7 linked regions of the Canis lupus familiaris genome follow. The protein of the gene in region 5 purifies or fractionates together with the protein of the main gene of each other region. This does not show direct contact. Links are inferred from orthologs where the notes say so. Each region holds a gene or a part of one and is shown on either strand. Other genes may lie near its edges.

What was found.
Region 1: the proteins of SQSTM1 (region 5) and WDFY3 purify together in Homo sapiens (affinity purification with western blotting; 4 studies listed by BioGRID and IntAct, with this or other methods). This does not show direct contact. The link is inferred for Canis lupus familiaris from reciprocal best matches to the Homo sapiens genes SQSTM1 and WDFY3.
Region 2: the proteins of SQSTM1 (region 5) and BAG3 purify together in Homo sapiens (affinity purification with western blotting; 3 studies listed by BioGRID and IntAct, with this or other methods). This does not show direct contact. The link is inferred for Canis lupus familiaris from reciprocal best matches to the Homo sapiens genes SQSTM1 and BAG3.
Region 3: the proteins of SQSTM1 (region 5) and EPDR1 purify together in Homo sapiens (affinity purification with mass spectrometry; 3 studies listed by BioGRID and IntAct, with this or other methods). This does not show direct contact. The link is inferred for Canis lupus familiaris from reciprocal best matches to the Homo sapiens genes SQSTM1 and EPDR1.
Region 4: the proteins of SQSTM1 (region 5) and NLRP3 purify together in Homo sapiens (affinity purification with western blotting; 3 studies listed by BioGRID). This does not show direct contact. The link is inferred for Canis lupus familiaris from reciprocal best matches to the Homo sapiens genes SQSTM1 and NLRP3.
Region 6: the proteins of SQSTM1 (region 5) and HTT purify together in Homo sapiens (affinity purification with western blotting; 4 studies listed by BioGRID and IntAct, with this or other methods). This does not show direct contact. The link is inferred for Canis lupus familiaris from reciprocal best matches to the Homo sapiens genes SQSTM1 and HTT.
Region 7: the proteins of SQSTM1 (region 5) and MTOR purify together in Homo sapiens (affinity purification with western blotting; 4 studies listed by BioGRID, with this or other methods). This does not show direct contact. The link is inferred for Canis lupus familiaris from reciprocal best matches to the Homo sapiens genes SQSTM1 and MTOR.

Annotation. Positions count from the first base shown.
Region 1 is NC_049253.1:31,496,260-31,499,759, forward strand, and holds part of WDFY3 (WD repeat and FYVE domain-containing protein 3), read left to right. Parts: intron 1-674; coding exon 675-835; intron 836-1,947; coding exon 1,948-2,177; intron 2,178-3,292; coding exon 3,293-3,402; intron 3,403-3,500. UniProt on the Homo sapiens protein: Required for selective macroautophagy (aggrephagy). Acts as an adapter protein by linking specific proteins destined for degradation to the core autophagic machinery members, such as the ATG5-ATG12-ATG16L E3-like ligase, SQSTM1 and LC3.
Region 2 is NC_049249.1:30,112,388-30,115,561, forward strand, and holds the end of BAG3 (BAG family molecular chaperone regulator 3), read left to right. Parts: intron 1-439; exon of another isoform or gene 440-558; intron 559-1,294; coding exon 1,295-2,113; 3' UTR 2,114-2,674; downstream 2,675-3,174. UniProt on the Homo sapiens protein: Co-chaperone and adapter protein that connects different classes of molecular chaperones including heat shock proteins 70 (HSP70s), e.g. HSPA1A/HSP70 or HSPA8/HSC70, and small heat shock proteins (sHSPs), e.g. HSPB8.
Region 3 is NC_049239.1:12,223,248-12,226,000, forward strand, and holds the end of EPDR1 (mammalian ependymin-related protein 1), read right to left. Parts: intron 1,952-2,753; coding exon 1,752-1,951; 3' UTR 501-1,751; downstream 1-500. UniProt on the Homo sapiens protein: Binds anionic lipids and gangliosides at acidic pH.
Region 4 is NC_049229.1:335,775-339,825, reverse strand, and holds the start of NLRP3 (NACHT, LRR and PYD domains-containing protein 3), read right to left. Parts: upstream 2,801-4,051; 5' UTR 2,716-2,800; intron 1,190-2,715; 5' UTR 960-1,189; intron 808-959; 5' UTR 756-807; coding exon 479-755; intron 1-478. UniProt on the Homo sapiens protein: Sensor component of the NLRP3 inflammasome, which mediates inflammasome activation in response to defects in membrane integrity, leading to secretion of inflammatory cytokines IL1B and IL18 and pyroptosis.
Region 5 is NC_049232.1:2,125,545-2,129,044, forward strand, and holds part of SQSTM1 (sequestosome-1), read right to left. Parts: intron 1,607-3,500; coding exon 1,389-1,606; intron 1,158-1,388; coding exon 962-1,157; intron 232-961; coding exon 74-231; 3' UTR 1-73. UniProt on the Homo sapiens protein: Molecular adapter required for selective macroautophagy (aggrephagy) by acting as a bridge between polyubiquitinated proteins and autophagosomes.
Region 6 is NC_049224.1:61,609,889-61,613,388, reverse strand, and holds part of HTT (huntingtin), read left to right. Parts: coding exon 1-38; intron 39-54; exon of another isoform or gene 55-682; intron 683-1,010; coding exon 1,011-1,224; 3' UTR 1,225-3,500.
Region 7 is NC_049223.1:84,300,174-84,303,673, reverse strand, and holds part of MTOR (serine/threonine-protein kinase mTOR), read right to left. Parts: intron 3,265-3,500; coding exon 3,130-3,264; intron 1-3,129. UniProt on the Homo sapiens protein: Serine/threonine protein kinase which is a central regulator of cellular metabolism, growth and survival in response to hormones, growth factors, nutrients, energy and stress signals.

The sequences.
Region 1 (3,500 bases), on a different chromosome or scaffold from region 5:
AATCACAATCAGTGGGGCTCCAGAATATAGGAAGGGGGAGCTTACAGAGGGCATTTTGTTAGGAAGATTAGTGTTAAAGTGGTATGGACACAGCAAACACGCTGAAGGCACTGGAGTAGCTTTTTGAAGAGAAACAGTACTGAAGGTAATCGTGGAGGGAGGAAGAAGTGCCCCTTTGGCCCCACCGGCACTGATTGTAGTTTATTTTTCACAGTTGTTCTGAACTTCTCCTGCATATATTACTTCATTGTGCTCAAAGGTACATTCAGAACTAGAGTTTTGCTTGATGACTTGTTTTACCCTTTATTAGTTATACAGAATCTATTCACAGCAAATAACCTGACAGCTTTTTTTTTTTTTTTCTCAGAGATCCTCTGTCATTGCTAGTTTAAGTTGAGGAACTATTTGCTTATCACAGACATTCTCGAGGCAGTAGGAGACTTCATACTCTCAGTCTATAACTATTTTATCCTGCAGAAATGGTTTCTTCCAACTTTTGTCGTCATTTCTGGCCATGAACATCATTTTCTTAAAGTAGTACATAAGAGCTAGTAGTCTTATTTTTTAATGTAGTAGATGAACTCATTTTGCCTTAGTTTCATTTATTGGAGGTTCTGGTCTTCTGCTGGTTGATAACAGTTTCTTAGATTCTTTTTTTTCCTGCTCAAATTTAGGGGAAGATGCATCCCTGCCTATTACCAGTGGAGGAAGCTACCAGGTATTGGTGAACAATGTGTTTTATTTCACACAACGTGTGGTGGACAAACTTTGGCAAGGCATGTTCAACAAAGAATCTAAACTTCTTATAGATTTTATAATTCAACTAATTGCACAGGTAATCTATTGTCACTATTAGTTTTAGAGTACATATTTTCTTATTGAAAAACTTTTCCTAATGTGTCAAAATTATTGGAAATAAATGTAACTAATAAGATAATGTTAACATTTAATACAAACAAAGCTCAGCTTGTTGAAAGTGAGTAAAAACCATAGACTTCTAACCCTTCCCCTCCTTACCCATAGGGTGGTACCAGCGTGTCCCTGTAAAGTTGCCTAGTTCTCTTAAGCTCTGGGCTCTCACTGGCTTCCCCACTGGTATTGCTCTTTGCTACCCAAATACCTGGGTAACTTTCTTATGGTTTAAATATGGTTTTAAGTTAATACAATTTGATGACTTGGTTTTTTTGTTTGTTTTTACAGTATGCTACATTTGTATGTAAAGGTTTACAGAGCACAAAGAGTTGATATGAAAGGAATATTTTCTTCTTATAATTAAATCTTCACAGAGTTCATTGTAGTTCTTTGAAGGTGTCATTTTAGTGAGCGAGTGGGTGTGTGTGTGTGTGTGTGTGTGTGGTACTTTTGACTAGGAATGTTGGCCTGGTTTGCCACAAGTGATTAATCTTATTCAACACATAGCGTAGAAACTAGAAAATACTGTTACCACGTGTTATTAGCATATGGTGCATAGGTTCTTTCGTGTCATCTAAGAATTTTTTAAGAGATAAATTTGTGTTTAAGCCAAAGAAAAGTTTACAAGTGAGGAAATCAATCTAGAATGTCAAAGGTTTTTTTACTAACATTTTAGATTTGGTTGTTTGTTTGTTTTTCTCAGTAATTGTGAATAGAGATCATTCACCCTAACAAAACTTTTGTTGCAGGAGATTCTCCTTAGATTACACTTCCATATGTACTCAGGCAGGCTGCTCTGCCTACAGGAGTTTTAGCAGCTCTCCTCAATGGGGCATGTGGTTTTCATCTCATTAAATTATACTTATGTGTCTCTTGGGTTCTGAACCTCATAATAGCAAGAGCTTTTTGGTTTTTAACTTAGCACCTTGTATTGAGCATGGCACCTGGTATGTAATAAAGCTAATATTTATATGTGAATGATAAGCAGACCATTTGTTTCTATTTTACTAAATAAAGTATCTTTCTTACCTTTAGTCAAAAAGAAGATCACAGGGATTGTCACTTGATGCAGTTTATCACTGCCTCAATAGGACCATCTTGTACCAATTCTCACGGGCACACAAAACCGTTCCACAGCAAGTAGCTCTCCTAGATTCGCTCAGGGTACTGACTGTAAACAGGAACTTGATCCTGGGACCTGGGAACCATGACCAAGAATTCATTAGCTGTCTGGCTCACTGCCTTATTAATCTACATGTTGGAAGGTAACTTTTTCACATTCAGTTTGCCACCGTGAATTTGTCATTCCACCAAAACTCTGTCCTACTTTTTTGATAGTAACATTTTTTTCCTTTTAATCTCAGTTTTAAAACTTCATGGAAAATATAAACACAAGGGTAACATTTTTGCAATAAAAGAATGAGTATTTTTTCTGTAATTTTCCATGTCTTTAAATTGGTCATTAATCACCTTAAGTCATGTATGTAATTTTTTTTAAAAAGTTTACTTTTAAAATAAACAAAGTATACAATGTTGGAGGTTAAGAGGGATAAAAAGGAAAGAATAATGAATAAATGCAGTGGTATATGTTAAATGGGCGTAATTAGTATTTTTCCTTGATTCTTTGACAGATACTTATTTAATGTCTGGACATTGAATTAGGGACTGGGATAAAATGTGAGCCAGAAAGACCTCATGGCAGGGTCTTGGAACATGCAGTCTAGGAGGGAAAATAGACAACTAAGCCAGACCAGGCAAAGTGTGCTAAGTGCGCTAAGTGCTCTGCTGGAAGCATGGCTCTTTGGGTGCATGGAACAGGTGCTCCTACCTGGAAAGAGACACCTGCTGAGTTACAACTTGAATGTGTTTGACAAGGAGGTTAACTCTCCAAAAAGGATGGGAAAGTGATGTAGGAAGAAAGAGCCATCTATGTGATTGCCTTGGGGGAGGAAAGCATATGGCACTTTCGGGAAACTGCAAATTTGTCACTGCTCCTGGAGCAAAGGGTGATGGGAGAGAGACTGAGGGGAGGTGGTGCATAGGCATATGAGGAAAATGTTCTTAGGAACTTTGTAATTTTTAGGTAAAAATATTAATCATGATCAAAAAACACCTTAAATATTAAGATGCTCATCTTGATGCTGTTGTTTAGTTTAATTACATTTAGTCAAGTGGATTTGTGAGATCATTCCTTTAAAATGGCATTTTCATGATAAAGTAGTAGTTCTGTTTTGTGCACCTGCCAAATATCTGTCTGCCAATTATAGAACTTTGTGATAGAGCCAGCATTTACTTGTGTCTGGAGAGTTATACTTAGTCATTATGGTTTTCAGCTATAATCATTTCCTTCGTATAGTTTAAACTGACTGGAATTTTTCAGCAATGTGGATGGGTTTGGACTGGAAGCAGAAGCCCGCATGACTACATGGCACATTATGATCCCCTCTGACATTGAACCAGATGGTGGTTACAGCCAAGATATTAGTGAAGGTAGTTTGTTTTCTTCCTTTTTTATTCCCCATTCTCCCCATTTCCAATTTTTTTTTTAAGAGAGAATGAGTGTATGAGCAGAGAAAGGCAGATGGAGA
Region 2 (3,174 bases), on a different chromosome or scaffold from region 5:
TATTCACAATAGCCAAGATATGGAAGCTGCCCAAGTATCCATCGATAAATGAATGGATAAAGCAGATACGGTGTACATATACAATGGAATATTACTCAGCCATGAAAAAGAATGAAATCTTGCCATTTTACAACAACATAGATAGACTTAGAGGGTATTAGGTTAAATGAAATAAGTCCAAGAAAGATAAATACCATATGATTGCACTCATAGGTGGGATCAAAAAAACAAAACAAAAGAGCAAACAAGAAAGCAAGTAGACTCATAAATACAGAGAACAAACTGAAGGTTGGCAGCAGGGAAATGTGTGGGGGGATGGGCAAAATAGGTGAAGGGAATTGGGAGGTACAAACTCCAGTTACAAAATCATGGGCATGAAAAGTACAGTGGAGAGAGTATAGTCAATAATGTTGTGATAACAGATGGCGACTGTACTTACCATGGTGAGCACTGTGTAATGTATAGAACCGTCGAGTCACTGTGTTGTGCTGCTGAAACAGCATTGTGTGTCAACTCTACTTCAGTAATAAAAAAGGGGGTGAGGTATCCACTGAAATGCTAGAAGAGGCAAGATACTTGTTTTAAACATAGCTCATTCTAAAAATTTTCACTTGCAGTTACATTAAAAAGCATGTCTGCCTATATGGCCAGAAGTCAGTGTGGAGACGCACAGCTAAGAGTTGGCTCTGGCACAGATGTGCCCAGCGAAATTCTCACAGTTAACTATTTTGGGCATCTTGCTTATTCTCAGAAAAATACATCAGTCTGGGCAGAAACCACTAGGCTGTCATGGATTTAAAAAAAAAAAAAAAAAAAAAGATCACAACTTGTCTGAAACAGGAGAGGGACCACCACACCCTGAAGAGAGACTGTCCACACAGTGTGAGGAAGGGGACATGTGGCAGGTATACCTCCATGGCTGCATCACCAAGATTCTGAGTCACGCAGGACTCTGCTTTGAGCTAAACTAGCTCAGCAGTCAGTGAGGTGTTTGGTATTTTCATTTTTGAAAACTATATCGATTTTCTTTTTGTTGCCCTAAGAATACTATCCACAGAAAAGTTCAGTGAGTGGTGACAGACGCACAGTCCAAGGTGATGAATGGAAATGGTTTGGTCACACACATGATCAGAATGTTTTAATTTTGTAACAGTGCGTGGTTGACTTTGAAAATCCCTTTTGCACCGTTAAAGCCATTCCCCAGTTTTCTGTACCCTCAGTACTAGCTACCAACAACTGCCTGTGACTCTCAGCCAGTCATTAAAAATATCTTTGTGTCCTTGCTTCTCCTCAGCAGCCCATGACTCATCGAGAATCTTCACCTGTTCCCCAACCTGAAAACAAACCCGAAAGCAAGCCAGGCCCAGTTGGACCAGATCTCCTTCCTGGACACATCCCGATTCAGGTGATCCGCAAGGAGGCAGATTCCCAGCCTGTTTCCCAGAAGCCCCCACCCCCATCTGAGAGGGTGGAAGTAAAGGTTCCGGCTGCTGCTCCAGCTCCTTGTCCTCCCAGCTTCACCCCTCCTGCTGTCCCCTCGTCCCCCAAGAACGTGGCTGCTGAAGAGGGGGCAGCCCCTGGCCCTGCCCCTGCAGAAGCCGCACCTCCCAAACCAGGAGAAGCTGAGGCACCCCCAAAACACCCAGGTGTGTTGAAAGTGGAAGCCATCCTGCAGAATGTGCAAGGGCTGGAGCAGGCTGTGGACAACTTTGAAGGCAAGAAGACCGACAAAAAGTACCTGATGATAGAAGAGTATTTGACCAAAGAGCTGCTGGCCCTGGATTCGGTAGACCCCGAAGGACGAGCTGATGTTCGTCAGGCCAGGAGAGATGGTGTCAGGAAGGTTCAGACCATCCTGGAAAAACTTGAACAGAAAGCGATAGACGTCCCGGGTCAAGTCCAGGTTTATGAACTCCAGCCTCGCTCCCTTGAAACCGACCAGCCACTGCAAGAGATCATGGAGATGGGTTCCATGGCAACAGACAAGAATAAGAAAAGTGCTGGAAATGAAGAAGATCCCAAAACTGAAACCCAGCAGCCAGAAGCCAAAGAAGCAGCAACTGCAAACCCCGGCAGCACGACGGACACAGCTGGAAACCCAGCCGCACCATAGTCTTCTCCGCTCAACACAGCAGACCCGGGCACTGGGAACTGCTGGTGTGCTTTAGGGAATTTTAAGTTGCATGCATTTCAGGGACTTTAAATCAGTTTGTTTTTACTCTTCGTAGGCGCTTGGTACACAGTAACTTGGGTGGAGGCCAAACACACTAATTAAAGGGCTAAAAGGAAAATGATGCTTTTCTTCTGTATTCTTATTCTGTATAAATAAAGCAGTTGCTTGTTTCAGAAGCTAACCCCATTGCTTGTTGTTGGGGCCCTTTCTGTGCACGGGCACCACATGTTAGCCATGGTTGTAAGCTGTCTTCGTGTAGCTCTGGCCCGAAGGAGGTTTCTGGCTGGTAGATGTGGTGTTAATTTCCCATCGCACAAATATGGAATCCATTTTTCAGAAATGTTGCCCTTTGAATGGGATGATTTTCTTCATCTCATAGCTAAAATAGCTAACTTTAGATAGAATAAAATGTGCAAGGAGCCCTAGGAATATCTGTATGTTGGATGACTTTAATGTTACGTTAAGAGAAAAAAGAAAATAAAGTAATAATATAACTCAAAATGGTTTTGTGTGTGTGTGTGTGTGTGTGTGTGATCTCTAAAGTTTTGAGGAAGGGCAGCATCAAGATTATGTCTCATTTGGCTTCAGTGACAGTCAATGGCAGACGCATTTACAGGCCAGCTCTGGGATCTAGCACCTCTCTCTTGGCCCAGCTCATGAGAGAATGAGTGTCACATTTCATCCTCAGATTGCAGCTGTTACCTGGGAAGACCCAGGGCTGTGCACCCAGGTGATGGGAAGGTACCTGTTAGGATTGGCCCAGCCCAGGGGCCACTCTGGCAGCATCTCTGCTCACCTGGGGTCTTGGGCTGCCATCAGCCCTCCGCAAGGGCTGGGATGGGTCAGATGCGCACACAGGAAAACCAGTTGCTCGTGTTGCCCAAGGCTGACCAAAGTGTTCTGCGCACAGTCCAGGTCACTGGGGTTGAGAATGTGTTCTGTGAGAGTCTTTATCTGACGCTTCTCTGAGTCATCAAACCAGGCTGGGTTTATCATCCCAG
Region 3 (2,753 bases), on a different chromosome or scaffold from region 5:
CTATGAAAGTCCCCACCCATCGGTGCATTCCAGATGCCAGCCTTGCCTGGGCTCCCCTCTGCTCTGAGACTCCAAGAACGGGCATGGGCCCTAGAGGTAATGGGCTCAGTACTGGCCTGGGACTGGCCGCGCAGAGGTTGGCTTTGAGGAGAAAAGACCAGGGCAAGAGAGAAGCTATGAAGTTCTTGCAAAGGCCAGCCATGGGAAGAGCCCAGACCCAGATGGCGGCTGAGGGGACGGACAGGGGCCACTCTGACCAGACTCGGGACATTGATTGTCTATGAGGACTGATGGAGAAAAATGGACCAAGAACACCTCAGAGGCTTCCAGACCCAGGCAACTGGGCTTTGAACAGAAGAGCAAGCCTTCGAGAGAGGGATAATGAATATGGCTTAGATCACCCGAAGCACTTTATTCATCAGAGAGGAGTTTTAACGCCCGAATTACCAAGATAACTCACCTATGGGACAAAAGTGAAAGTATCAAAGAACACTTAGAAATGCAATTAAACTTGTTTATTGAAATAAACCAGGAGTAATACAGACTGTTTTCAGCGTCATAGCCAGATGAAACACAGTAGGAGAAGAACCCAAAATAATACATTTTATTCCCAAGAGGTCAGCAAACCCAACCCTTGAATAGATGAGGAATCCAGTGACCAGACAGGCTGGCATTCTCCACTCTACACATGCTTAGGGCACTGACCATGTGCCAGGCACTTACTTGGTGCTGGGCAGAGAAAAAGTACAGAAGTACAGAACGTGGTGACCCGTATCAAGGAGCTCACAGCCAGGCTGGTGGGCGATGCTGCCCAGGAAGCAGGCGAGAAGCTACAGGGCGCACCCAACCCGGCCAGCAGCAGCTCTCTGAAGGTCAAGCGTGAGCTGACCCGGGAAGGATGAGCAGAAGTGGCGCAAAGAGGCTGCGGAAACAGGGCCCCCGCGAGGAACCCCACGAGGGCAAGCAGAGTGCATGTAGTTACTGGGAGGAGTTCAAGTACAAAGGCATTGCAGGCCCGGATTCTGAAGACATCAGTCCCCTGACCCCCAGTTCAACGCTGTTTTTAGAACACTAGCTGTCTTTCGAGGTCTCCTGACAAATATAGGATGATTCAGCACATCCATCAATACTCTTGCGTAGACAAAAGGAAGCACACGTGGCCCACGCTTACCCAGATACACACGTGAGGATTTTCAAACCCTCTTGTGTAATTGCTTTGTGTCAGAGCCTTTCATCTCCTCCCCAGATTTTTATCAATCGGGTCATGCCACAAAGCTGGAAGGGGTTTTTAAGGAATCGCTTGGTCACGGGTCAAGGGAGCAGGAAGCAGGGCAGGGGAGCGGCCGCCACCCTGATGCAGGCAAGATAGAGGCCACTGTCTGCAGAGAACTCAAAAATTTATCATAAAACGGGAGCAAAATCGTCCTGCATTTTATTATCACTACGTGGCAGCAATGCAGCAATTCTCGGCAACTCAGGTAATGAAACCCTCCACCCTGCCCCCCCCAGCTCACGTGTGCCCCCGCTCCCAGATCCACCTGCCAGCGCAGACAGCGCATCCCCGGGTCTGCCGTCTCTTCCAGTCGCATTCCCACCGCTGTCCATCCCCTTCGTCAACATCGCTTGAGAAGCCAGGATCATATATACAAAGAACCCCGGATCACGGTTTATCTTCCTCCCATCACGATCCTTCTCTCGAGCCAAGGTGGTCACTTCTCGAAAGCCCGAACCCCGTGGGGGCGCCCACGGGCCTACTGCCAGGAGCAGTTCTCGCTCATCGGCTCCGGCTGGGCCGTCTGGCAGGTGCTGGGCGGGGTGAACACGGAGGGGTCTTTAATGCCCAGCTGGATGTCGAAGAACCGCGTGGACAGCAGCACACTGTAATTTCTGGTGAAGGTTTCCTGGACGGGGTAACAATCCTTGACTGTGTAAATGCCAATCCAGGTTTCGTCTGCAAGAGGAAGGGAAGTTGACTTTTTAACATAGAAGGTGGGCAAAATACCTGTATTTTTATCCTGGGGGTAAAATATACATAAAATTCACCCTTTTCACTATTTTAAAGTATGTTTCAGGGGCACCTGGGTGGCTCGGTGGTCGAGCGTCTGCCTTCGGACCAGGGCACGATTCCGGAGTGCCGGGATCGAGGCCCGCATCGGGCTCCCTGCATGGAGCCTGCTTCTCCCTCTGCCTGCGTCTCTGCCTCTCTCTGTGTGTCTCTCATGAATAAATAAATAAAATCTTTAAAAATAAAAAATAAAGTAAGGTTCAGTAGCATTAAGTACGTTCACGTTGTTCTGAAACCATCGCCACGATCTGTCTCCAGAACTTGGTCATCTTCCTCAGTGGAAATTCCGTGCCCTCTGACACGAACTCCCCATTCCCCTGCCTGCCCCTCCCAAGCCCCCATCCACTTTCTGTCTCTATGAACGGGACTACGCTAGGGACCTCAGATAAGTGGAATTACAGAGTATTTGTCCTTTAGTGACTGGCTTATTTCACTCAGCATAACATCCTCAAGGTTCATCCAATATTATCCATGGCTGAATACTATTCCATTGTTTGTTTACACCACATTTTGGGTATTCATTTACCAGCCGATGAACGCTTGGGTTGTTTCTACCATCTAGCTGTTATTATTAGTGCTGTTATGAACATGGGTGCACAAATATCTTTTTGAATCCTTGCTCTAAATTCTCTTGGATATACACCTGTACGCAGAACTGCTAGGTCCCATATGATAATTCTATGCTAAC
Region 4 (4,051 bases), on a different chromosome or scaffold from region 5:
TTCTTAGCAGCATTGTTCAAAATAATCAAAAGCTAACAGCAATCCAAATGTCCACTAATGGGTGAATAGATGAACAAAATTTGGCATACACATACCCTGGAATATTATCCCACCTTGAAAAAGAATGAAATAATGTTGTATGTGACCACATGGATGAGGCTTGAGGACATTATGCTTCATAAAGTAAGCTAGCCACAAACAGACAAATACTTTATGAAGCTGTTCATAAGCCGTACTAAGAGTAGCCAAATTCTTAAGGATAGAAGGTGGTAGTTCCAGGTGCTTAGGGGAGGGGGACAGGAATTGTTGTCTAATGGGTACAGAGTTTTGCAAGACAAAGAAAAGTTGTGGAGATTGATTGCGCAATGTGAATGTGTTTAATGCTGCTGAACCATAGCTTTGAAATGGCTAAGACGGTAATTGTATGTCACGTGTATCTTATCACGATTTTTTAAAATGCTGTCTATCTTCCACTCACCCCACTCCAGCTCATCCCTCTTAGCTTTCTCATAAAGGTCTCTTCTGTTGATTGCAGCAAAAATCCACACTGCCATGGCCCATGCCTTCTCCTCACCATTGAAGTCGATCATCAGAGTAGCCAGATCCATGTGGTCAGCTTTCTCTGTCTGACTCCGAGGGAGAGGGCTGAACCCTTTCTGAGAAGGGTAGTCTTGTAAGTGCATCTTGAATTTCTTAAAGTCTGCATCTTCCAGGTCCTCCAGGTAACGAGCCAGCTTGCAGCGGACGCTTGCCATGCTCCTCTGCAGCTTGGCTCAGGGCCCTTGGGCATAGGTCCACTCCAGGAAGCTGGATGATGAAAACAGCACATGGGTAAGCAGAATCTTCCTAAAAGTCTGCCCTCTTGAAAGAGAATGAACCCACGAAAAACCCAGAACATAAGGAGAAAAAATAGAGAATTGAACCATAATGAGGTTTTGAAAAATGACCCAAATACTCACCAGAACGTTTTCCTGTTGGCTCAACTCAGGAGTCTGTCCTGAGCCATGGAAGAACAGTGTCCCTCTGGAGAGAAACAGAGGTTAAACCCGCACAGGGAACCATGTCGATAATACTGTGAGCCCAACCTGCAGCCTTAAGCCACCACAGTGCACCACAGGGAGAACTTTGTTCTCACTAGTTACTGAGGAATGGCCTGGGGCAAAGTCTTCCTCAGCTTCTGTTTCTTCATCTATAAAATGACAGAATGGAAAATATGGCTTTTAAGTTCCTTCCATTGGAAAGGCTCTGGTTCCCTATTTCTGTTTTGACCCCGGAAATGAGTAAGTACGGTAGTAACAGAGCAGCACATGGCTGGACGGAGGAAGAAGACAGACGCGCCTGGACAGGGGAGGTCTCCAATTGCACATCCATCCATCTATTGATCGATAGCGATGAGTGGGTGACGCTCGAGGTGCGTAGGGGGAGGTGATGACCACATACATCTCCCTGAGGTGTCCTTCAACATTCACAATTGTGATCATCATTAGAGCCCACGGGGACTGAGAGCCTCTCGCAGCCTAGGTGCCGCACTCATGTGCTGTGCATCTAACTCTCCCGAAGCCCTAGGAGGTGCACATATGCTTAGGCCCATTTTACAGAAGAGGAACTGAATCTTAGCAGAAACTAAGTGACTTGCCCAGGGTTTCGCAGAAAAAAAAAAGGGTTCAAAGCCAGGATTTAGGTCAGGGGCACTGATTTCTGAGTTCATGTCCCTAAATACTAATTTTCATAGCAAGAAAAAGCATGTGATTCTTTCTTCCATCACTTAACGAGGTATCTCAGAAAAACATAGAAAAGAACAAAGACAATAAAATAGGTGGTTAAAAGGCAAAAAACAAAAACAAACCACTTTCCCAGCATTTTCCACGCACAGCCCACCATTTTTTAGAGCTCAGGGTCTCAGCTTTTCTACAGGGATGCAGAGTTCCACATAGAGCAAAGTTCAGCTGCTGTGTCCTTGCTCTTCTGCGTCTCCAAGATTTGGGCTGATAAGCATGTTGGCTTTGTTTGGGATCCATCCCGCCACATGACTGAGTTTGGGAAAGCACAACATCAACCCAAGGCCATGAATGAGGGTCGCTAACAGGAGGGAGAGGAAGGGTGGGACTGCAGGAGAGAGTGTGTGTGCACAATGCCTGAAGCATGCTTGCCTCCCCTGTGCCTTCATCTTGCCCTGCACTCCTGGCTCCACGCACCCACCAAATCCGTTCCTCATGCGTTTGGCGGTGGGCTGGGCATGTCCAGGTAGACCCACCTGTTTTGTGGACCATCCCAGGACCCCGGTCGGCCTTGCCATCCACATCAGGACTCTACGGCTCCTCTGTGCCCCCCAGCCTCTAAGCCCCATGCGTTCTACCCTGACCTTTGCCTTCTGTGTCCTGCGGTGTCTAGGACGTCCACATCCCCACCACATCCCCTCCATCCACTCCCTGGGGGGATGCTGGGCAAATCCGCCCCAAGGGTGGGTGTGAGCTGTGGTGGCTGTCCCTACCTGCCCCCCCCCCCACTCCCCAGTCCCTACGCACACACTTGCACACAAGCCTAGGACCCAGTAATGAAAAACAAAAAAGGGTTTTCCAGAATTGTGGAAGGGCAGGCTTGGAAGCTGGCCGGAGAATCCCTAGTGTGCTAAACAGGACACCCCCGGCTCTCCATGGCCCCTCCTCATTCTCCCCACACTCTTGCAGCCATGCAGCTCCACAGAGTTGGACTCACCCGGACACCAGCCTCAGAAACAGCCCAAGAGGAAACTTGATGAATTTATAGTGGTCACAGCCCAGCAGGGCAGGAAGGATGTGGCCTCAGCATGGAGTGAACAAGCTTGCATCACCAGGTTGGAGACTAACAGTTACTCATATTGTGGATTTTCCACACCAGTGAGCAGCGTGCTTATCTCGGCCATAGCCAGAGACGTCTGCCGTGCTCTCGGGGGCCCCTGAGGCGGGGTGTCCCCGTGGGCGTCCCAGCGGCCATGAGAGGGCTGTGAAGGTAGTGAGCACAGTGGGGCAGGGGACCCCCCGGGCCTGGCAAGTAGAGCATCAGGAGCATGCCTGGCCCTCCAGCCATCAGGCACAGTCTGCTGGCCGGCAAAGGCTCTGTGCACCACCTGTCAACGTCCTCAACTGCTTTTCTGAATTGAGGATACGCCTGTGAGAACCTCACCTCTGCCGAGGCCATGCTCATCACCTCCCAAAGTCTCCTCCCGCCCCTTTATTATTGTTGCTGTTTTAATGCTGTTCTGTGTGTATGGTGAGAACCCTTAATACAAGACCTGCCCTTTGGCAAGTATTCCAAGCACAGCAGAGAATGACCAGCTGTGGGCACAGCGCCATATGCCCATCTCCAGGACTTAGTCCTCTGGCGTCACAGCCTGCGTGCCCCCAACCGATACCTCCCACTGCCCCCTCCCAGCCCCGGGCCCCTGACCCTGCACTCTCTGTCTCTGTGACTCCGACGAACTTGGAGTCTACGTACAGTGATATTACACACTTCACGTCCTCCAGCTCCACCCACGTTGTTGCAAATGGCAGCATGTCCTTTTTCCCCGTGGCCGAATAATCCCCATGGCATGTGGTGTAGACATGTGTACCTACCGTCTTCACCCTTTCTTCCACTTGTGGACACTTAGCTTGTCTCCGTATCTGACCTTTTTGAATAATACCACAGCGGACATGGGAGTGTGGACATCTCTCCGAGATCCTAAGTTCAATTCCTTGGGGCAGACACAAACCCTGCTCCTAGACTCATGGACTCACTTAGTCTGTGAGCACTTACGGAGCGCCCAGTGGGTGCCAGGCAAGAATGCCAGCCTGGAGGGATGCCTTGCTTTGCCCCAGAGGAGCCAGAGGACCAAGCAGCACCCGGACCGTGTTTCCAGGCACGTGTGGCGGCTGCAGGACCACAGTGTGATGATGGCCCGTGTACATAGAGCAAGCGTGGTGAGGGAGAGGAGGTCAGCTCTTCGGGCCAGCATGGGGCCTAGAGCAGGAGGGATGAGAGTCCACGACCAGGGGGCAGCACTGGAAGCGGGTCCGTTTCTCTGTGCAGATAG
Region 5 (3,500 bases):
AGGCCCGGCTGTTCTACACTATCTCATCACAACTAGGAGTCAAGAAGGGGGACAGAACAGAGAGTGAAAGCTGTCACAACGGCAGCGGATGCTTTGAATACTGGATGGTGTCCAGGGCCGCCCCAATATCGTAGTTCTTGGTCTGCAGGAGCCTGGTGAGCCAGCCACCTTCATCAGAGAAGCCCATGGACAGCATCTGGGAGAGCGACTCGATCAGCCGGGGGTCAGCCTCTGCCAGAGAGAGGACAGAGCCATGAGAAGCAGCTCGGGGTACAGCACGGCCAGCCAGTGAGCACGCCGCAGTGCCACAAGCCAGCCCTCCATAGGCTCGCTGACCCTCGTAGTACACACACACACACACACACACACACACACACACAGAGCCTGACAAGCTCTTCCCATAAAGGGCTGAGGGTGAATCCGCTAAGCTGCTCTGTGGGGTGTGCTCGCCTCTGCACCACAACAGAACAGCCAGGCAGCTTGTAAACAGGAGTGGGGCTGTGCTTCAGCATGACTTCTATTTTGGATGCTGAAATTTTCACCTCATACAATTTTTACATCCTGATCTTTTCCAAACATTATAAAAATGAAAAAAAAAATAATAATTGCTGGCCCGTAAGTGACAGCTTGCTGCCCCCTGCCCTGGTGCAGACAAGATGAACACCCAGAACCCAAAGGGTGGGTTTTCACCTGTGTTATTCTGACACACTGTCATCTTGTGACCGTGACAACCAGAGCATGGCATCCGCTGCTTCTCTTCAGCATGTGCCCTCGAAGCCACAGTCCCCATGTGGCCTCACCACCTCCTCCACGGGGTGGAGGACCCCAGCTATGACCCCTGCTCCTGGGCCACTGTGCTTCTAAGTCCCACTGCCAGCGAGATTCCAGTTCCATATGCTAGAAGGAGGGAACAGGATGGTCTGGAGAAAAAAAAAAACCGACACTGCCTGAAATCACTTGCCTGGTGGCAGATGCGGGTACAGAGCAGCCTCCTTCAGTCCTGTGGGCCCTTCCTGAGAAGAGCCGAGGGAGCCGGGCCCTTCGGATTCAGGCATCTGTAGAGACTGCAGTTCACCTGTGGACGGGTCCACTTCCTTTGAAGACAAATGAGTCCAGTCTTCGTCTCCTCCTGAGCAGTTATCAGACTCCATCTGTTCCTGGAACAGAACCACCCATGAGCACACAAGCACCAGCTCGCCTGCCCCCAGCCTCCGTTCCTGGGAGCAGCAAGCGTGAAGGCCACAGGAGGAAAGTTCTAGCAGTGGGGTCACAGAATGACATCAGCGCTACCAACGGCACTCCGACCAGGACATGCTTGGGTCAGCTATGCCCGGGGTCCAGAGAGAAACAGTACACAGCGACAGCCCCGGGCCCGGGCGGGTACTCGCCTCGGGCGGCCCCGACTCCAGGGCAACCTTGTCCATTTGCTCAGCTAGCGCCTGTGCGGTGCCCTCCGGGTCCCGATCCACATCGGGTTTGTTGGGGTCGGAAGAGCAGCTGCTGGGCTGAGAGCTTCCCCTGTCCTCCGTGCTGGAGCCACCTGGCGAGACGGGGGTGAGGCGGCTTCGCTTCCCTCCGTGTTCCACGTCAATGTCCACTTCGATGCCTGCAGACACCAAGGGGGAAGCTCAACCTGGAGCTGGCCCGAGGGCCTCCTGGCCAGGGCCACAGTGCATGCGCTTGGGGCTTGGGACGGCGGCGCCGCCACAGACCCGAGAGTCGCACAGCCAGTGTGGGACCTGGGCACGGGGCCACTGCTCTGGCCCCAAGGCAAACGGCTGGTCACCTCGGGCCTTCAGGATCCCCGGGGCTTACTGGCTCCCAATACCCGGGCCCCAAACCTGGCCCCTAGAAAATGTCCACAGACTCAGCCACCTCACCAGACCTTCCTCCACTTTCAGCCTAATGGAACCTTAATCTCTGCTAACATCCCGGTCAGCTCTGGAGCCAGGAACCCCAGCAAAAGCCCATTTTCCCCAGCGTAGACAGCAAGCGAGGAACAGGAAGCCAAACACCCCCCGTGGCCAGAGCCCCCAGCCACGTCACCAGGACCATACGAAGCCTAACACTTGGCTGGGGCGGGGGGGAGGGGTGGCTGGTGCCACAAAACACATGCACAGTGACCACAGGCATCCTGCTCTGCCCTGGCGGAGCCCACAAGGCCAGAAGTGCAGGCCCACACATGGCCTCACTTATCAAAGGACAACAGGCCCACAGCTAAGAGACCGTTCCAGAAGGCTTTAGCCAAGATTCCTGGCACCCACCACACAGCCCACCTGCTCCCCAGACAGCTTTCAATCCACACTGCTTTTCCTTTGACTCACGTTTACTGCTTCTTGTTCTAGATCTACACACACCTCCCCCTTCCCGTCCTTTCAAAAACTTAACTTTTAGTGAAAACAACACTCACTGTTTGTTTTACCGCCACTATATAGATCTGGTTCTCTACTTGCCCAGACAGTGCACTTCTTTCCTTGTGGGGCTTTTGTTTTTATAGCATCAACAATGCCTGCTCTTCTCATTTTGCTAACTCGCCCTGTATTGTGCAACAGCTTTCCACAACTGCCACATGGGCTAAGTACTAGACACCCTGCAGCTCACGTATCCCCGGAGACCACCTCCTCAGCACCACCTCCGGCTCCTGCCCTAGACTGGCAGGTCCTCCAGGGCAGAGGTACAGCAGCTACACGGTGACAGCCCTTCCTCTCTGCCTGGCACCAGCCACCCTGGCTCAGGTACTGGGTCCCGCTTTGCAGCGCCTTCTCCATTCTGGGTTTTTCTTCCTTTCGGTTGGGGGGGGGGGGGGACGGTTCAAGCCAAGGTAAGATGATGAAGACCCTGCACACCTGAGAGCAGCTTTGTTCTGGCCTCACAGGAGGCAGCTTCAGTTGAGCATAGCATCCTAGGTTGACAACCATTTCAACTCAGACTTCTGAAGTCACTGGTGGTGTTCCACAGTCTCCAGCACTGGCTCTTTGAGCTCTGCCACCTAGAGCTTTTCCAGAGCCTCCCGGTCTCTAGAGGGTTCTGGGACGGGACAATGAGCTCTGGTGAGGGATCTTTCTGGTCACTGTCCAAGGCACTGCGGAGTCCCCTCAATCCAGAGGTTCACGTCCTCTGGGCTGACATGGTCTTCTGTTCATTTCCTTCCTTCCTTCACTTCTATATGCTCTCTCTTCCTCAAACTCCTATACCTCCTACACTGGGCCTCCAGAACTAACTCTCAGACCTTCTCACCTTTTCACTCTCCTCACCTCTTGTTTTTAGAACATTTCCTTGAAATGACCTTAAAACCTAAGCCTTCTCTTGAAGTTTTATCTTATTTTTCTTCTTAATTCCCAGGAAACGTTATTAATCTGTTCTCTATAAATCTGTTATCATTTCTATGATATCCTGTTCTTCTATCAAGGATGGAAGTACTTATTTGGATCTCATGGAGGATGCGGACACTCTCATCCTTCCCCATGTTCCTTCTTGTCCATACGCTGCGATTTTTCCCC
Region 6 (3,500 bases), on a different chromosome or scaffold from region 5:
TTTGTCAGTGCTTCCACCAGCCCGTGGGTCTCGGCAGTGTATCCTTCCCTGGGTCTGGGCCAGAGGCGGTAGCTCCTTCTCAAGCAGTCCTACAGGCCCTGCTCTCAGCATCTGGGTTGATAGTGTCTGTTAACGTTTTGAAGCCTAACCTTTAAAGAAACCCAGCTGTCAAAATGACATTTACCTTAAACCTTGACAGAGTGCAATGTTGGTAAGGGGATAGAAAAGGGAGCGTTAAAAAAAAAAAAGAAAAAGAAAAGGGAGTGTTTACCACACTGACTGGGACCGCCTGGAGAGGCGGGGTGGGAGGGATGCTGAGGGCAGCAGCCCATCCCTGTAGACCTCCTCCCACCCACTCGCGGGTTCCATGCAGCTGCATATGTGGCCAGTGCTGTTTCTCATTATTCCTTGTCCATTGTGCCTGTGTCATCCTCTCGGGTACAAGGCTTAAGTAAAGATCCAGTTCCCACCCCAAAAATGCTGGCTGCCAAAAGGGGATGTTCTCCTTTGGCAGCCTTCCCCCAAGACAGACCAGAGCCTCTGAGCAGACGGCTGTCCTGGTGCTGGTGGCAGGCCTCGCTCAGCATTGCCTGGGCCGGGTGGCCATGGCTCTGCCCTCACTCTGCGGGAGCAGGGCTAGTGGGAGCCTCAGCGGCCAGCGCTGTGAAGGGAGCCAGGTCAGGTAAGTACTGTGGAGTGGAGCACCCTCGCTCTGGGGCTCCCCAGGCTGCCTTGCCCGCTTCCTCTGTCTCACTGGGCAGAGCCGGGCTTCCAGCCAGAGTGGCAGCGTCCATTTGCCTGTTCCTGGTGTGGCTGGCAGGAGCCAAAGTGGGAGGCAGCTGCTGCTGCTACACAGTCCAGGTCCCTGGCGTCTGCTCCAGCCGCCTCTCAGGGCCCCCAGGGCCCATCTGTAGACCTGTGTTGAAGGACAGCCTGGTGAGGACTGGGAGGCATGCCTAGGAGACTGCTCTTCCCTCACTTGAGCCTTGCTCCCTTAACTCCTTTGCCAGCCTTCCCCACGTTATCAGCAGGATGGGCAAGCTGGAACAAGTGGACGTTAACCTCTTCTGCCTGGTGGCCACGGACTTTTACAGACACCAGATAGAGGAGGAGCTGGACCGCCGGGCCTTCCAGTCTGTGTTCGAGGTGGTCGCGGCACCAGGAAACCCGTATCATCGATTGCTGACTTGTTTGCGGAATGTCCACAAAGTCACCATGTGCTGAACGCCCACACAGGGCAGCAGCACAGAGCCGGGGGCCCTGCCTGCGCTGGCGTGGCTCTGCAAAGGCCTCCCCTCGAGTCGCAACAAGGCCAGGCAGGCAGTGTCGGCTCTGCCACGTGGCAGAGGAGCTCTTTGGCAGTGAGGCTGCGTGCAAGGGAACATGTGCAGTACCGTGGGGTTGAGCCTGAGTCCTCGCAGAGAGCAGGAGCAGTTGTGTCACTAACCCTTTGTGCTGCAGCTCCTCCAAAATGCCAGCTAACCAGGTGTTCTTTTCCTCTTAGCACCCAGCCTGCTCGTGGTCATCGGGTTACAGCTGCTCTTGTGTCCTAGAGCCTCTCTGCTGTCCCGCCGGCAGAAGGTGGCGCCAGTGGGCTTTCAGGAGCATTCCCCGGGGCTCTGGCCTGGGGGTCAGGACCACACCCAGTCCTGGAGGGGACCGCTGCGGTGTGTGCAGGTGGGGGGGGGGGCTGGGAACGTGACACCCAGCGCCATACTTCCTTTCTCTGATTTCTTCTCAGGATTTAAAGTTTAATTATATCAGTAAAGAGATTAATTTTAAGGTAACTTTCTACGCCCGTGTAAAGTATGTGCATTACCAAGTCTGTGCCGCATGTGACAGAGCCTGCGGAAGCTGCCCCAGGCCGGTCCTTCCCTGGCAGCCCCTGCTCTCTGCCCTGCAGCTTCCCTGCCCGCCCCCTTCGCCCACACACACACACACACACACACACACACACACACACCTACACACCTACCTGTCTTCCTTATTAACACGCTGGCGATGTTCTGTGGTACCCTCCACCCTTTCTCACGAGTTCACTTCTGTTTAGAGATGTTTAGAATTTAGAGATGTTTCATGTTAAGGTGTCTGCGTCAGGAACTCATACAGCCACTCTGAGGACTGGAGGGTGCCTGCCCCCCTGTCCCATACACAGCCCGCCTGCTGCTCCCTCACCCTTCCACACTGATGGCTCTGTGGGCTCCATTCCCCAGTGAAGGACAGCTGTGCTGGCACCTAGCCAACAAGGCCAGCTCTCCTGGTTACAGGCAGTCTGTCGTGTCCAATGACGCCAGCCTGGATGTTGTCCGGTCCCGTCCCAAGCGGGGTCGGGCTGGGAGCTAACTGACCGCTGTGAAACCTGCTCTCCATGTGGCCTCTCCTGTGTATTAGGGCCCAGGCGTGTAGTGGAATTATATTTGTACCACTCTTGGTCAAGAGCAAAGCTCGGCATTTGGCAACTGTTAGAGAAGGACCCCAGCACCCACTTGGCCCCCTTTGCAGCTCAAAATGTAAAGTGGGCCTCCTTTCAGGAGGATGCAGATCTGTACCCACTGGATACGTGATGGGGCTCAGAAGGGGTAGTAAGGAGAAGGGCTGGGCAGTGACTGGCCGGCCCACGTCCCCTCAGAGCTGCTGCTTTTACCCCAGGCCCAGGCCGCTGGACCAACTTTCTGTTTCCAGCCCCAAAGTAGCCAAATCATCCAGTGCAGATGAGGCATGGACATTTGGGTTGACCTCTGCTGGGCAGAGCTCATGGTGTGCCTACGAGTGGGGCCATGCTTGCTGTCTGCCTGTGAGGCTGGTGGGTACTCTGCTGTCTGGCCCCAGAGGCAGGCCGGTTGCATGATGACTGCCATGTGGGTCAGTTTGGTCCTGAGTTCAAATGCAGGCAGTGGTTTGGGTATTTCATGTGGTGAGTGGAGATCATTTTGAAGCCCTTTTCCAGAGCCAGAGGAGGAAGCGGAGGAGGAGGAGCCTTGGTACATGGTTAATTACCCTTACATCTGGCTGGGTATGGGCCTGATATCCCACCACAATACACAGCCAGCTGTGGGGCACACACCAAACTGCCTGCTGACCCCCTGCCCCAGAACTGCCATCCTCTTCCTACCCTCTCCTGATACAGCAGTTTGGGAATTTCTAGGGTGCAGGGTTTTCCCACCAGCCCCCACAGAGGCCCCACCAAGCAAGGGCATGAGCAATAGAAATGAGTCCCGCTTTTGAGCTGGATGGAAGGGAATCTTAAGAAGGAAATCTCCCATGTCCCCCACCTCTGCTGGGCTCCCATCTCTCCCTGCCACCTCCTAGAAACCGCCTGTCTCTCACCCCATCACCTCAGCGGCTCCAAGACAAGAACATCACAGGCCAGGCTGCATGCTGTTCCTGGTGAGGGGTTTACATTTGTAGGAAGTAACACTGTGAATGTAAGGTTTGGAACCATCCCCCTTAGGATCCATATCACTGGGCTCACCTGGAAGCGTCATTGTCTTCCCTTGTTT
Region 7 (3,500 bases), on a different chromosome or scaffold from region 5:
CACCTTTTTTGCCACATGCACTTTCTTCCAATCCTTTTCACGGTTTCCTTGACTGGATCTGCCGTTAAGTCCTGTGAAGTCATGCGCGATATCTGGCCAGTTTTCTCCAGCAGGAATTTCGTGTTTCAGGCTTGAAGGCATTTGGCTTTTTCTACAACAACGATGGCATTTTCAGCGGTGTAATCCTTCCACTTTCCATCAGGGTCCTCTTCCACAGTGTTGACAATCCTTTTCATACAGTACCATGTGTAATGAGCCTTAAAGGTCACGACCCAGACCTAGAGGCTGAGTTAGAGATGCTGGGTTTGGGGGCAGGTAGACCACTTCGAGGACTTTGGCGTTAAACTCATGAGCTTCAGGGCGGCCAGGGGCATTGTCCAATACCAACATTGTCCAGTATCAAAAGAACTTTAAAAGGCGATCCCTTATGGGCAAGGTGGTGCTTGGATTGAGACAAAGCGTTAAGGGAACAAATCCTGAAAGAGAATTTTTGTGGTGCTTGTAGCTTCCCTCAAAGCTCGAGGGTTAGCAGCTTTCTAGATCAGGGCCGTCCTGATCATCTGCTCCACTGTGTAGCACAGTGAGAGAATGAGCCTGCCCCTGCCTGCCTCAAATCCCGGTGCCTGTTTTGCCTCCTAATAAATGTCCTTTGTGGCATTTTCTTTTCCAGAGTGGAGCATTTTCGTCTGCATTAAAGCCCGTTCAGGCACATATCATTTCCCCTCAGTGATCTTCTTTATGGCACCTGGGTCAGCAGAAGCGGCTTCTCCTGTTATCTTGACTTTTTTTTAAGTCGAACCTCTTTCCAAACTTATCAAACCATCTTCTGCTGGCATTCAGTACTCTAGCTTTCAATACCTCGCCTTCCTTTTGCTCTAAGTTGTCATATAATGGTCTCGCTTTTTCTAGAATCGTATTAGGGGGTTCAAGTATGCCTTTCTTACAGCAATCCTGTACCCACATAAAAGCTGCCTGTTCAACATGAGATAAAACAGATTTCTCAAAAAGTACAAGATTTTTGTGCCTGTTGGCAAAGCTGAAGCAACAGCTTCACGGATTTCCCTTTTCTTTTTTTGCAAGGGTCCTTATGCTGGATTCATTTATCTTGAAATGGTGGGCAGCCACAGCTGCAGAGCTCAATCTGCAGTGCCTATCAAGCCATTCAATTTCTTCTTATAATGTCATGACTCTGCTCCTTGGGAGAACTTCACTAATGGCACTCGTTACGGGTTCCACAGTATTATTCAAGGTCTACGGTACTGCACTAAACACGATGAAAAATACATGAGAAGTGCGACAGAGCCCTTTTTACTGCAATGCGCAATTTACTGGAGGGGCCAACTGTGCACACAGATCAGCCGTGCACAGCGGTTTAACCAGATTCTCGCAACACGAGCTCACCGCGACGGAACAGAAGGTGGCTGCGGAATTACTACAGTGGGACAGCGTGCGCCACAATTAATCTTAGGCAGTTAGGATTTAATGTTGTACCTTCCTATTTGCTCACATTTCTCTCGACTGCAAACGGCGCCATGTATAGTCTGTAAATGCTGGTGTGCATAAGTTTGGGTAAATTTTTAATTTCAGTAATAGATTTGTATATATTTTGTGGTAGTAAATAATGTAACAGCCTACTATCTACTTGTATTTTATGCATTCATGACATATCGAACTTTTTAACATTTTCAGTATTTCTAGGCTACATGGGTCATCTGTGAGTTTTCAAATTGTCACGGACCTCCAAAAAATTTACCAATATATTTACTGAAAAAAAAAAAAAAAACCCACATGTACATGCACCCGTGCAGTTCAAACCTGTGTTCATCAAGGGTCAATTGTATTTAGAAACCTCACAGGAGCCTAGTAAGGTGGATGAGATCCCCGTCAAAAGCAAGGAAATATGATGCATAAAAAAATAAAATAATGTACCCAAGTCCACGGTATTGAGAGGGGTGGGGATTCAAAGCTAGACCCCCGTGTTCTACAGATAGAGCAGCAGGTGCTGCCCCGTATTTACAGCACTGCCGTTACCAAATGCCCCCCCCCCCCCCACTGGGTGTATTAAAGCAAGAAGCCCTGCGGCAAAATTTCACACCAACTCACTCCCATGCAGGAAGACACGATGGAGCTCTTCACCAAACATATCCATCCTGAAGCCAGTGGACTCACGCTGAATCTACTCTGCGTCCGCACTGCCAACACCAGTGGAGGCCACCACCATCACCCGCCCAGACTACTTCAGTAGCCTCCCAGGGCAGCCGGGAGAATGGGCCCCAACCACAAGGACTGCAGCTGACCAAGGGCCCCACTGTGACTCTGACGATGTCACCATGTTTGTGCCACAGCCACGCCTGCCGCGGTCGGCTCTAGCCAATGACAGCACGCATGAGGAATGCTGGGCGGGCCTCCCCCAGAGCCAACTGTGGCCTGAGGCCCCCACGGGGCGCTGCACGGTGGCCCAGCATGCTTCCAGCCCACTTTGCTTCACTGTCTTGCTCACTCAGAGCCAGCGCTGCCCTGCTCGCCAGGCCCTCCCTGATCCCTCCCCATGTTTTTTCCCTAACAAAAATGCTTACACTCTTAACCATACCCCCTTAACTAGTCTCCTGCTTCCTACCTGCCACGATGCAAGCTTTGCCCCACAAGCCGTCAATGATTATTAAAAATGGAGGCCCCCACAGCACTGCCCTGTGTACACACCTCCAATGTTTGCAAGGAGAATCAAAGCCAGTGTTCACCACGAACCCGAGAGGCCTCTGAATGTGTCCCCTCCCCTCTCCCCTGCTCTCCTGCACTGACCACATTCCCCTTCTTTCTGTTCCCTGAACTTATCAAACTCTCTCCCACCACAGAGCCTCACCCAGAACACAACCTCCCTGCCCACTGCAAGGCTCACCCCTCCACGTCATGCGGGTCTCAGCGCCAATGGCACCACCCAGACAGGAAGGCCACGCCCTCCCCCTGCTGCCCTCCATCTCATTACTTCATAGGACTTTCTGAAGTGACCCTGTTTACTTGCTTATTGCTTGTTTCCCTTACAAAACATCCTCTGTAAGGACAAGGATCTCGCCTGTCTTGTTCACAGAACGGCATGTGGACGCCAGACTCCCTTCTGGCATGGCTTCTCACCTCTCCCTCCATGCTGCTGATTCGGACCAACTCGTTGAGGATCAGCAAGGCTCCATGGATGCGATCATCCCGATTCATGCCCTTCTCCTTGGCCAATGTCTCATCAAACCCTTTCTCTGCTTCTTCAAACGTGTGCTATTAGAGATACAGAATGTGTTCATCAGCCAATGTCCAAAGGTAGACAGAACATAGGCCCACCCCCCTACACAGGGGGTTCTGCGGCTCACTGGCTTGTGCCAGCAAATCAATGACATGAATTTACCAAGCTCTCTTGTCCAGTTTACCTTCAACCCAAACGATACCATGACTGTCCTATTTAACAGATGAAAAACAGAGGCTCAAGGAAATTAAATGACTTGTCCAAGGTCACA